Rattus norvegicus: one gene and its partners. The protein of the gene in region 1 interacts with the protein of each later gene in a biochemical or structural test. Links are inferred from orthologs where the notes say so. Each region holds a gene or a part of one and is shown in the gene's direction. Other genes may lie near its edges.

The links.
Region 2: the proteins of Dlg4 (region 1) and Gucy1a2 interact in a test that uses a peptide from one of them, tested with the Homo sapiens proteins (2 studies listed by IntAct, with this or other methods). The link is inferred for Rattus norvegicus from reciprocal best matches to the Homo sapiens genes DLG4 and GUCY1A2.
Region 3: the proteins of Dlg4 (region 1) and Frmpd4 interact in a biophysical measurement, tested with the Homo sapiens proteins (2 studies listed by IntAct, with this or other methods). The link is inferred for Rattus norvegicus from reciprocal best matches to the Homo sapiens genes DLG4 and FRMPD4.

What each region holds. Positions count from the first base shown.
Region 1 is NC_086028.1:55,238,353-55,241,952, forward strand, and holds the start of Dlg4 (disks large homolog 4), read left to right. Parts: upstream 1-1,431; 5' UTR 1,432-1,487; coding exon 1,488-1,517; intron 1,518-3,600. UniProt on the Homo sapiens protein: Postsynaptic scaffolding protein that plays a critical role in synaptogenesis and synaptic plasticity by providing a platform for the postsynaptic clustering of crucial synaptic proteins.
Region 2 is NC_086026.1:8,879,145-8,882,872, forward strand, and holds part of Gucy1a2 (guanylate cyclase soluble subunit alpha-2), read left to right. Parts: intron 1-3,107; coding exon 3,108-3,728. UniProt on the Homo sapiens protein: Has guanylyl cyclase on binding to the beta-1 subunit. Isoform 2 acts as a negative regulator of guanylyl cyclase activity as it forms non-functional heterodimers with the beta subunits.
Region 3 is NC_086039.1:30,365,588-30,369,315, forward strand, and holds part of Frmpd4 (FERM and PDZ domain-containing protein 4), read left to right. Parts: intron 1-2,627; coding exon 2,628-2,717; intron 2,718-3,259; coding exon 3,260-3,442; intron 3,443-3,728. UniProt on the Homo sapiens protein: Positive regulator of dendritic spine morphogenesis and density. Required for the maintenance of excitatory synaptic transmission. Binds phosphatidylinositol 4,5-bisphosphate.

The sequences.
Region 1 (3,600 bases):
CCAGGTCAGCCCTCTGGCTCCTGGCCCCGCCACTATTGCGGTGGGCACCTCCCCTCCTCACAGTGCTGCACAGTGACCTCTTCCAGGCCTTGCTGGGTGAGTAATGCTAGTGTTCTGAGGGGCCACAATGGAAAGGGCTGGCCTGCGGTATGGGGTCACCTGTTATAGGTTCTAGGCTGGTTGGAATCCTGCAGAGCCCCTAGTCCAGGCTCTTGCTTTTGTGGTCATCCCACTGTGTCCCAGCAGCATCCATCCTAGCTAGAGGAACTTGTCTCTCAACACACAGAGCCATGGGTAGCAGGGGTGGCCAGAGGGGCCTGAGGTTTGGGAGGTGACTTAATTCTGTTCCTGTGACAGACATCCTGGACTATTATGAGGCTTGCATCTTAGAGAGTCAGGTAAGGTGATGATGGTGGGTGCCTGGCTTCCTGACTGCTCAAGCTGGCAGGACTGGAGGGATGAGGACGTTCTTGCTAATTTTAAACTGAGACTTAGGGGCCTTGGCAACAAAATCCCTAGTACTGACTGAGGAGTCGGGGGCACTGACAGTGCTCTTTCTGTGGGCAGCCAGCCCTGTACCCTTTCTCCGTTCTCCCCTTTCTTGGCTTGCCCCAATTTCAGCACCAGAAAGTCCAGGTCATAATTAATTACTTTTCAGACTTCTTCCTGTGACTCCTAGGGGAGAACTAGGTCCCCAAGGTTCTCTAATGTTAGCCCCTCCCTCAGCCCCGTACCCCGTGGTGTGGCCTCCCTCCAGCACTCAACCAGCCAGGGATGCTCTCATCTCAGATGTGGGCCTTTTCCCTCTAAGGAATGAAATCCGTCCTCGTCTTTAATGTCATCATCGAGGTTAGCCAGGTCTCCATGTTTGCCGTAGGGCCTCTCTGCTTGTGCTTCTATCTCCTTTCCCATTATCCGGGTTCCTGCCAGCAGTGAAGGAGTTAACACTGCCAAGGCACCCCCCCATTCTGGCTCCTAGCTCCCTCCCTCCCTCCCCCTGCTTCCTCTCTCCTCCTCTCTCCCCTTCCCTCCTCGGCTCCGCGGCTACATCGGCCGCTGCCATCTCCAACCCCCCCCACCCCACTCCCCCGCCACGGCCCCTAGCCCCTGGCCGTTTGGCAAGACCCCCGCATACCCCGGGGCTTCCCGAAATCCAGATCCCCTCCCCCACCCCAGCTCATGCCCCAGCCCCAGAACTCCGGGGCTGCCAGCCCCCTGTGCCCCTGCCCCTCCTGAGAATCGGGGTGTGCTCCTCAAGCCCCCTCCCCTCCACTGGGGAGCCCCCTTTAGGGTCCCCCCTCCCTTCCACGCTCCCCTACCCTTCTCTTCTCCAACCTTCTCCTTCCCCTCTCACCCCTCCCCCCATCCTGGCCCCCCCTGCAAAAGTGGGGTGCGGAGGGGGGAGGGGTGAGAACCCACCGAGGGGAGGAACAAAACTCCAATGAAGTCAGAGCCCCCTACTCGCCGCCGCGGCCAGGCCCCCCAACATGGACTGTCTCTGTATAGTGACAACCAAGGTAAGCATGATGGGGGGAGCAGTGGGGAGGGGGAGTAGGTAATGAATTTGTGGAGAAGGCTTAGGTAGGCCTTATCTAGGGTTGCAGGCACTGAAGTGAGCGCATCTAAAGTAAGATGTATTAGAGGGGTCACAATTTAGTTTTGGGGTTCACATCTGAGAAAACGATGGATTTGGTCCACAGGTGCCTCCTGGAGTGATCATTTTGTACCTATAAAGAAATGGAGAATTTGATTTGGTGTTTGGGGTGTCTTGGTGGGCTCTGGTGTTCATCAGCAGTGTTTTGAGGGCAATTTATTTAAGGAGAAGCCCGCCTGCCTCACATGGGAGTTCTGCTCATATATGTGGGAAGGTGGGCTATGTGAGTGTGTTAGGGGGAGGGTTGTCTTCCTTCCTGGGCAAAAAAGCTCATTTCAAGATGCTGACCAATTGACCAATTTTGGGGGGGTGTCTCTTGGCATAAGGGTAAAGGTTACTGGTTGTGTCTGGCTTGTCTGGCTGTGTCAACTAGCAGGTAAGGGTGGGCCTTCAGGTAATAAAACATCTTGTGCTAGACATGTTTGAGATGCTCCTGATTTGAGGGAATTGTACATTTAGGGTTTAATTATGTGGAATAGAGTGAGTGACCTGGGAGTTTCCAGAGGGCTGAGGCCTGATGCAGCCTTACCTGAGAGAATGGACCAGGTGGGATTAGGATTCAGGGTACTCCCATGGGAGCTAGAAGGTTGCAAAGCTGAGGTTGTCATCTCGTAAGAAGGATGAGAGGTGTGGGGTAGGAGGATAAAAAGAAGGTAGTTGAGGAGGGGGACCATGTGGGTGGTACAAAATTTGGGGGTAGCCCAGGCAGGTGCCCACTATTCCCATCTCCCACATTTTATCTAGCCTTGGTCAAGAGAACAGAATAGCAGATGGGGAGGGGGGCTGTTACCCTGACGCTTGAGAGGACACCTGGATCTAAGGGTCTCTGAAGGCTTGTGAGGTGAAGAGGCCACTGGGGTAAAACGGTATAGAAAGAGGGCAGGGCTGGCGGAACTGGGATCCATACAGGGTACAAGGGTGTCCCTGTGGTCAGAGCCTGGAAAGAGTGGGAGATCTGGGATGAAAGCCCAAGAAGCTTAGGTCGGTCGCTTGCTCCCAGACTCTGGGACTGGCAGGCTAGATGCCTGGTGTGAGGAGGGAGGCTTGGGCGGGCGGCAGGCAGCTGGGGGTTGGGGGGTGGGACAGGAAGTGGGGGCCGGGGGAGGCGGGGTCCGGGTGAGTCACAGGCTGGGGAGGGGGTTATATTTAGTGGGAACTGCAGCTTCTTATGGAAGGAAGCTGAGGACACACATGTTCCTTGCCACAAACTCACACATGTGTATACACATGCATTGTGCACGTGTGAACATGATTAGAGATTGGGGACTGAAGATTTCAGGTCTGCATCCTTTACCCCATCTACAGGGCTGGTTGTTTTTCTCCTGGTCTGTGGATTTTGGGCTTTCTTCCAGGCTGCTGCTTCTCTTATCCCCCGTAGTTTTCAGTAGATTTTTGTGCCTCGGTTCTTCTAGCCCTCTTTCAGTCAGTGTCTGCCTGTGTTCTTTGTGCCTTCTGTCCTTAGGCCTAATCCCTGGCCTTGGCAACCTAGCTGTCATCACCTTTGTACTGATGTATATAGGAACTCATTGGAATGTGTGAGTTCTCCTTCTAACATGAACACATGAAATCCAATAAGGGTGAGGGGCTTAGTAGCACTGGTAGCTATTCTGAGTGGATGTGTCTATTCATTTCTCTGCTCCAGTTTTCAATGTGTTCGATGGAACACATGATTGAGCAACCCTGAAGGTAGGAGGCTTGCCTAGAGGATCATGTATTCAGGTCTTACTGAGGTTTGGAGACCCATGTTTGCAACATTCATTGGTCAGAAAACTTGTCAGCCTTAGATGGAGGGACTCCAACTCCCATAAGGCCTTGAGGTACAAGATCCTTCAATAGTAGAGCGTCGTGGTCCACAGGACTGTTGGGAGTTGTGGTTCCTCTCTATCCAGGCCAGTTGAGGGTGGCCCAGGAGAAACCAGCAGGGGGCACATGGCTTCTGCCCTCCG
Region 2 (3,728 bases), on another chromosome or scaffold:
GTCTTCACTCTTCTATACCTATTATCCTTACATTTGATCTACGCATTGTGACCTGGATTTCCTCAATGTTTTCGGGTTAGGTGCTTTGAGAATTTTTCATTATCTTTAAGAGTTGTGTCGATGTTTTCTCTCTTCTATCTCTTGTATTCTATTGGTGATGCTTGCATCTCTGAGACTCCTGATCTCTTCCCTAAGTTTTCTATCCCCTGTGTTGTCTTTCTTTTTGCTTCCTTTATTTTTTTCTATTTTGATTTTTAAATCCTGGACAGTTTTGTTCAATTCCTTTTTCTGTTTAGTTGTGTTTTCCTGTAATTCTTTAAAGGGTTTTTGTGTTTCCTCTTTAAGTGCTTCTACTTGTTTACTTTTATTGTCCTATATTTCTTTATGGTAGTTATTTATGTCCTTCTTAAAGTCCTCCATCATCATCATCACAAAATGTGATTTTAATTCTAAATCTCTCTTTTCCGATGTGTTTGGATATCCATTATTAGCTTTTGTGAGAGAACTGGGCTCTGATGATGCCAAGAACTCTTGGTTTCTTTTCTTTAGGTTGCTGTGTTTGCCTCTTGACATCAGGTTGTCTCTGGTATTAGCTTGTCTTGCTTTTTCTTATTGTGGCTTGACCCTCCCCTAGGCCTGTGTGTCAGCATTCCTATAGACATGTTTTCTTTCAGTTGGATCTGAGAAGAGAAATCTCTGTTATCAGGTGTTTTGGAGCTCCTGGCACCTTGTTTAAGCTCTCGGTGCAGCAGAAACCTGAAGGGTCCTGCTCCTGACTGCTCCTAGGTCCCTCTGCCCGGGGGACACAGATTTCACTCTTGATTTCCTCTTCAGTCAGAAATGTGAGCAGAAAGTCGTTGTCTCCTCTACGTTCTCAGGACCGTCTGTGCTTCTGAGGGTCCAGCTCTCTTTCCCGTGGAACTTGGGTGCAGGGAGCTGTGTTAACAGTTCAGTTCTGTTCAGGGCACAGACAGAAACCAGCAGGTTCCTGCTGTAGACTATTCCTATATTCCTGAATCCAGAGGCACTATGCAGTTTTTCTTGGGCCAGGGATATGGACAGAAGTGTTGGTCTGTGTTGTGGTCTCAGCATGGTCAGCACTTCTGGGAGTTCAGCTCTCTCCCCCATGGGATTTGGGTGGAGATTGCTGTGGGATTGGTTCAGTTTAATTCTGAGCACAGGAAGAAACCCAAATGCCTTGTTCCAGAGGACTTCTGCCTTTCTATGTCCTGAATCCACCAGGCAGTTTACTTGGGGCAGAAAAGGTGGTCTTTTCTCTCAGGTGTGTAGATGCTCCTGTTGACTGTCTTTCAGCTCTTGGCCCAGGCAGAAACCCAAAGGGTCCTGTCTCTGACTGGTTCTATGTCCCTGTGCCCAGGGTCACAGATAGGAATAGGGGATTTCCTCTTGGGTCAGAAATGTGGGCAGAAAGTAGCTGTCTCCTCTGAGTTCTCAGGGGTGTCCATAATTCTGACAAGTCATTTCAAGTTCTACAATTTTATATTCTTTTTATTAAAGTTTATCTTATTTTCATGGTTTACCCTGTTATGCTATAATAAACACTCTACTATTTCCAGTGAATAGCTTGATGCTTTTCCCCACACATGCACTATATATTATTTTTGATAGGTGTTTCCCACTTAATGAACATCTAGTTTTGCATATGTGCTATATGTCCTCTAACTATTAATAAAATCATTAAGAAAAAATAATTTGTATTGTTTAAATAGTGAGGTAATAAAGAGAAAATTAATTTCTAGATTATTTTCATTTAAAAAGCTCTCTGTGAGTCAGGGGAAGAAAGAGAGGAATAAAAAGAAAATAGAGTTTGAGGTAATAAAAATATGCTGAAGATATTATAATGGTAATATGTTAATCATCATAATACCCTAGCATCTAGAATGAACTATGGTCACTCTTCTTCGTGATCAGAGCTTGTCAGGGTAAAGTCATTGCACAATGTGCAAGGTCCTTCCATTGTAGACATCTGATAAGGAAATCTATACAATGCATGTGTGCATGTATGGGGCAGTGAGACTATTTGGAAATATTCATGCTTTTTACATATTTTTGTTCCAAACCTAATTTTTGGCAACAGCATAGAGTCTTCTTAAAGCTAAAAAACAAACAAACAAACAAACAGCAACAACAAGCCTTCAATAATTTCTCAACATCTTAGACACATGCAAATTAATTGGAAAAAAAAACCCCTCTAATTTAAACTGGGACTCTCAGAGACTAACCAGCAACCAAAGAACATACATGGGCTGGATCTAGGCCTTTTTGCACATATATAACATATATGCAATTTGGTCTTCACGTGGATCCTGAACAACTGAAATGGGTACTATCCCAAAAGCTGTTGCCTGTGTGTGGGATATTTTCTTCTAGCGAGGTTGCCTTGTCTGGTCTCTGTGAGAGTTTCTGCCTAGCCTCACATAGAACTGGATGTGCCAAGTGGGTGATACCAAGGAGTGTCCCCACCCACTCAGAGGAGAAGGAAAGGGGGAATCAGGGGAAGGATTGTATAAGGGGGTGGCCAAGAGGCAGGCAGTGAGCAGTATGTAAAGTGAATAACTAAAAAAGAAAATCTTTACCAAATTGAAAAACCTAAAATAAATGAATAAATCTCTTGATATTTATGACCTGTATATTTATGACCTAAATAAAGATATAATAAGTAATTTAAACACAAATAAATAAACTGATACATAATAAGCCAAAAATTTTAACCTATATGGGAAATTTGGGGACTCTGGAAAATATCTCTTTTATTTCACTCACCTATTACCACTTTAAAAAAGTGTTCACCCCTCAAAATAAATGTGTTTATTTTTAATTATGTGTATGTGTTTCCCTGTGTGTAGGCATGAAACTATAAATTCTGAGTCAGATATTCTTGGGCCTGGATTTAGAAGCTGTTTAGAATCACTTTATATAGGTTCTGGGAACCAACTGAGGTGTTCTTTGGGAAGATTATGCCATCTTATCTACTGAGCCATCTTTCTGTCTCAAAATTGCTGACTCTTTAGGTGAGTGATTTGAAAGATATATAGCTAATTACATACAGTTTATGTACTGCCATTTTTATTCTCCTTTACTTTTAGGACTGAAGTTCCAAGAAATTCAAGAAAGGTTTGGTGAGGAATTCTTTAAGATATGCTTTGATGAGAATGAGCGAGTCCTTCGAGCTGTAGGCAGCACATTGCAGGATTTCTTCAATGGCTTCGATGCATTGTTGGAACACATTAGGACTTCATTTGGGAAACAGGCCACTCTAGAGTCACCATCTTTCCTATGCAAAGAGCTTCCTGAAGGTACTCTCAAACTCCACTACTTCCACCCCCACCATACAGTGGGCTTCGCAATGCTGGGAATGATCAAGGCTGCAGGAAAGAGAATCTATCACTTAAATGTGGAAGTTGAACAAATTGAAAATGAGAAATTTTGCTCTGATGGTTCAACCCCAAGCAATTATAGCTGTCTTACCTTCCTTATCAAAGAATGTGAGACTACTCAGATCACAAAGAACATTCCACAAGGTACTTCCCAAATTCCTACAGACCTCAGAATCAGTATCAACACCTTCTGCAGAACCTTCCCATTCCATTTGATGTTCGACCCTAACATGGTGGTCCTTCAACTTGGAGAGGGCCTACGAAAGCAACTTCGATGTGACAATCACAAAGTACTGAAGTTTGAGGACTGTTTTGAGATCGTCTCTCCAA
Region 3 (3,728 bases), on another chromosome or scaffold:
ATCAGTGTCACTCCTTCCTTAATTATTATTAAAAATATGTCCACATATTGACATGGATGCCCTAAGGAACAAAATCTCTACCATCACCACTGATAACCATTGGATTGAATCCAATTTTGGAAAGAGAAGGATAAGATTTCCCTGCCACTCATCATTAGTGTTAAAATATTTGTATTCATTTCTGTTTTTATTAAGAGAAGCACAAAGACCATTTAAAAGTATTCTGTTGTTCAGAAAAAAAGAAAGGCGTGGTTTAGAAGTAATAAAAGAACAAAGATTCCAGTAAGTACAGAGACAAGGAGCCTTAAATCTCTGTGCCTATAAAATGAGAAACAACCTGAGTACACACTAGAGCTGATATAAAGTAGAGAAACTTGTCTGACCTCAATACAAATCACCATCCATGTAGGGAGTTCTTTGGTCATGGTATCCTATTTTCAGTCATTTTTATAAGGCTTCACCCCATAAACATTTTTTGAAAGATATAACCAAGTTCAATACACTCTTGGCCACATTCTCTTTCTTAGTTTCAATGGAAAATGTCCGCTATCACCTCGCTGTGAGCACCCAGCTTCATAAAAATAGAAAGATACCATGGGTCAATACTTTTACACTTCCTAGGGCTGGGGAAATGGCTCAGATGGAGAACTGCTTGCTACACAAGCGGGAAGACTGAATTCAATTCCAGAGCCCAAGCAATGATGCTGAATGTGCTGGTTAATACTTATAATCCCGGTACTAGGAGATGGACCCAGGCTTCCTGGAGTTCACTGGAGCTCACTGGGGCTCACTGGCCTGCCAGCCTTAGCTTACTTTATGAGCTTCAGGACTATGAAATACCTTCTCAAATGAAGCAAGGTAACTGGCTCTTGATATCCTTATGTAATATCCTCTGTCCTCCATGCACACGTGCACTCATATACATCCCACACTCATATATATGGAGAGAGATAGAGATAGAGAGAAAGAGAGAGAGACAGAGACAGAGACAGACAGAGACAGAGACAGACAGAGACAGACAGAGACAGAGACAGACAGAGACAGAGACAGAGAAACAGGCAGACACACACACACACACACACACACACACACACACACACATATGTTTTATAGTTTTTGTTCTCATTTCCCCAAAATCGATGTCTGTTAAGTAGTTTGACTTGATTTTTTTTCAGGCTTGGTGGCCTAGTCTTATGATAATTAACAACTACCAATATTAGTTCATTCTTTTATCTATTATATACCCATATGTGTGTGCACGTGTGCATGTGTATGTGCGTGTGCGCATGCATGCGTGTGGGGTGTGTGTGGGGGGGTGGGGGGGGGTGTGGGGGTGTGGGTGTGTGTGCGCGCGCATGTGCACGCTTCCTACTATAGCATTTCCAGCCAATAAAGTGGTTGGCTTAAATTTTGGGCGTTTTTGACAAGATTTCGGGTGAATGAATGGTGAAAAATCATCACTACACAGAAGATAATATCTCTTGTTATAGATAGAAGGGGAATTGGAAAGTCATACGTGAGTGAAGAAATTTTTCCAGTCTTTACTGTTTAATGGTGATTATTCATACCTTGTTGAAAATTCACCTTTGATAAACATTCCTTATGCATTCAATATAAGACAGGTACAGATTCTAATTAAATTCCTCATTTTTAAATGACACGAAAGCCTCCATTTTTGAAGTCTCTATAAAGATCCATTTTGTCTAGATATTTGTAGTTCATCAAACTCCATAGATTCTCAGAGTTGCATTAACAAAACCAGAATGTTCATAGAAAACTCAAACCACTTCACTGTGATTGGAGTTCAGAAAGTTCATTCACCCTGAAACTCTGAAAAGGGTAGAAGAAACTTGAGATGGGAGGTGTGCAAGGTTGCTTAAAAGATTTGCAAAGATCTCAGGCAGCCCCACAAATTCTGTGTGCAAGTGAGTCTCCTATGTCATTAGAGAATTTACACTCAACACTCCTTTGTCTCTAATCACAGTCAGAAAGTGTCCCTTACCTATTGTAACCTTTCAGTGAGCATACATTTCCAGAGAGTAATATCTCACTTATTGAATGGACTGAACCATGTGTCTATACTCATGCACCTACCTCAACATCTTTCATCACACACACACACACACACACACACACACACACACACACACACACACACACACATTCACACTTCTCTTCCAGAAGCAGCAATAAGATTTGAATCTTGGTGTTACATTTCAGTTCATTATCCCAAAACACAGGATATAGTAATATATTGCCTTCCTGCTGAAGAGTCTTTCTCATACCCCATCTCCCTAGCAATAAAAGCATCCTTTGCGGGTGGAGGTGCAACTCAGTTGGTATTGAACCCAGAGCACTGGATTCTACCCCAGCACTGCATATACTGGGCATGGTGCCACACACCAGTAATTCCAACATTCCAGAGGTGAAGGCAAGAGGATCAGAAGTTCATGGTCATCCTCAGCTAACTAGGAAATTTGAAGATAGACTAAGATACATGAAACAGTGTCTTAAAACATAAAATAATTTGGTTCACACAGTGACAAATTGTCTTGTACCTTTATTTCCACAATAGAAAGAGTCCCACACAATGAAGCCCACATTTGAATTTTCTTTTCTTTCCTCAGCTCTCTGCACTACAAGCTAAGGTCCACTATCTCAAGTTCCTCAGTGACCTGCGACTATACGGGGGCCGTGTGTTCAAGGCAACATTAGTGGTAATTGCATTTTCTTTCTTTCTGTCTGGAGCCAGAGGCTGGCCAAACATCACAGCACAGCACAGGCTGTCTTCAAGGAGTTGCCCTGGATGATAAACATAAAGAAGCTAGGAATCTTTCCTTGTTTTCAATACTAACCAACTTCACCACAGTCTGGAGATACCTTGAGAAATGTTCGATCTAAGTAGCATTGCTGTAGAAGCCCTGGGGGAAAAATGGAATCAAAGGACTCTTAACAATGGTGCCTTTTCAATCACTGAGATAGAAAAGGGAGGGGGACACTTCTCACTTCTAAAAGCTTTTGATGTGCATAAATATATTGTATAATGACTACATTTACTTTCTATGTTATTCATCATTTATGGGCAACCCTATATACTCATATCTGAGTCCACCTAATTGGATGATTTAATGCAATATAACCCAGAAAAACTTTCCAAAGAATACATCATGATCTTAGGAAAAGAGTCACTCAGTCTGAGATTTAGATGATGCTTCAAAAGTCCTGAACCTTGAAATACTCTGTCATTCTCTTTCCTTAGCAGGCAGAGAAGCGCTCAGAAGTGACTCTTCTGGTGGGTCCCCGGTATGGCATAAGCCATGTCATAAACACCAAAACCAACCTGGTGGCTCTTTTAGCTGACTTCAGCCATGTCAACAGGATTGAAATGTTTACTGAAGAGGAGAGTTTGGTGAGGGTGGAGTTGCATGTGCTCGATGTGAAGGTGAGCCTTTCGCATGGTGACCCATGGCACTGCCTTCAGCAGTTCATTTCTGATAGCTCTGATAGTACTCATCATGCATGAAAGAGTTAATGTGTGCATGGCCTCACAGATGCCATTTGGTTAAAAAAAGTAAATAATAAATCCATACAACTCCTATCTAGGTGTTCTAGTCCTCATTAGATTGCTGTCTCATTTGGGGACAGGTTATTATATTTCTTTAGGCACAGTTTCTCCATCGGTGCACAAAAACAGCAAGTTATATCATTCTCAATCCCTTCACGGTGTA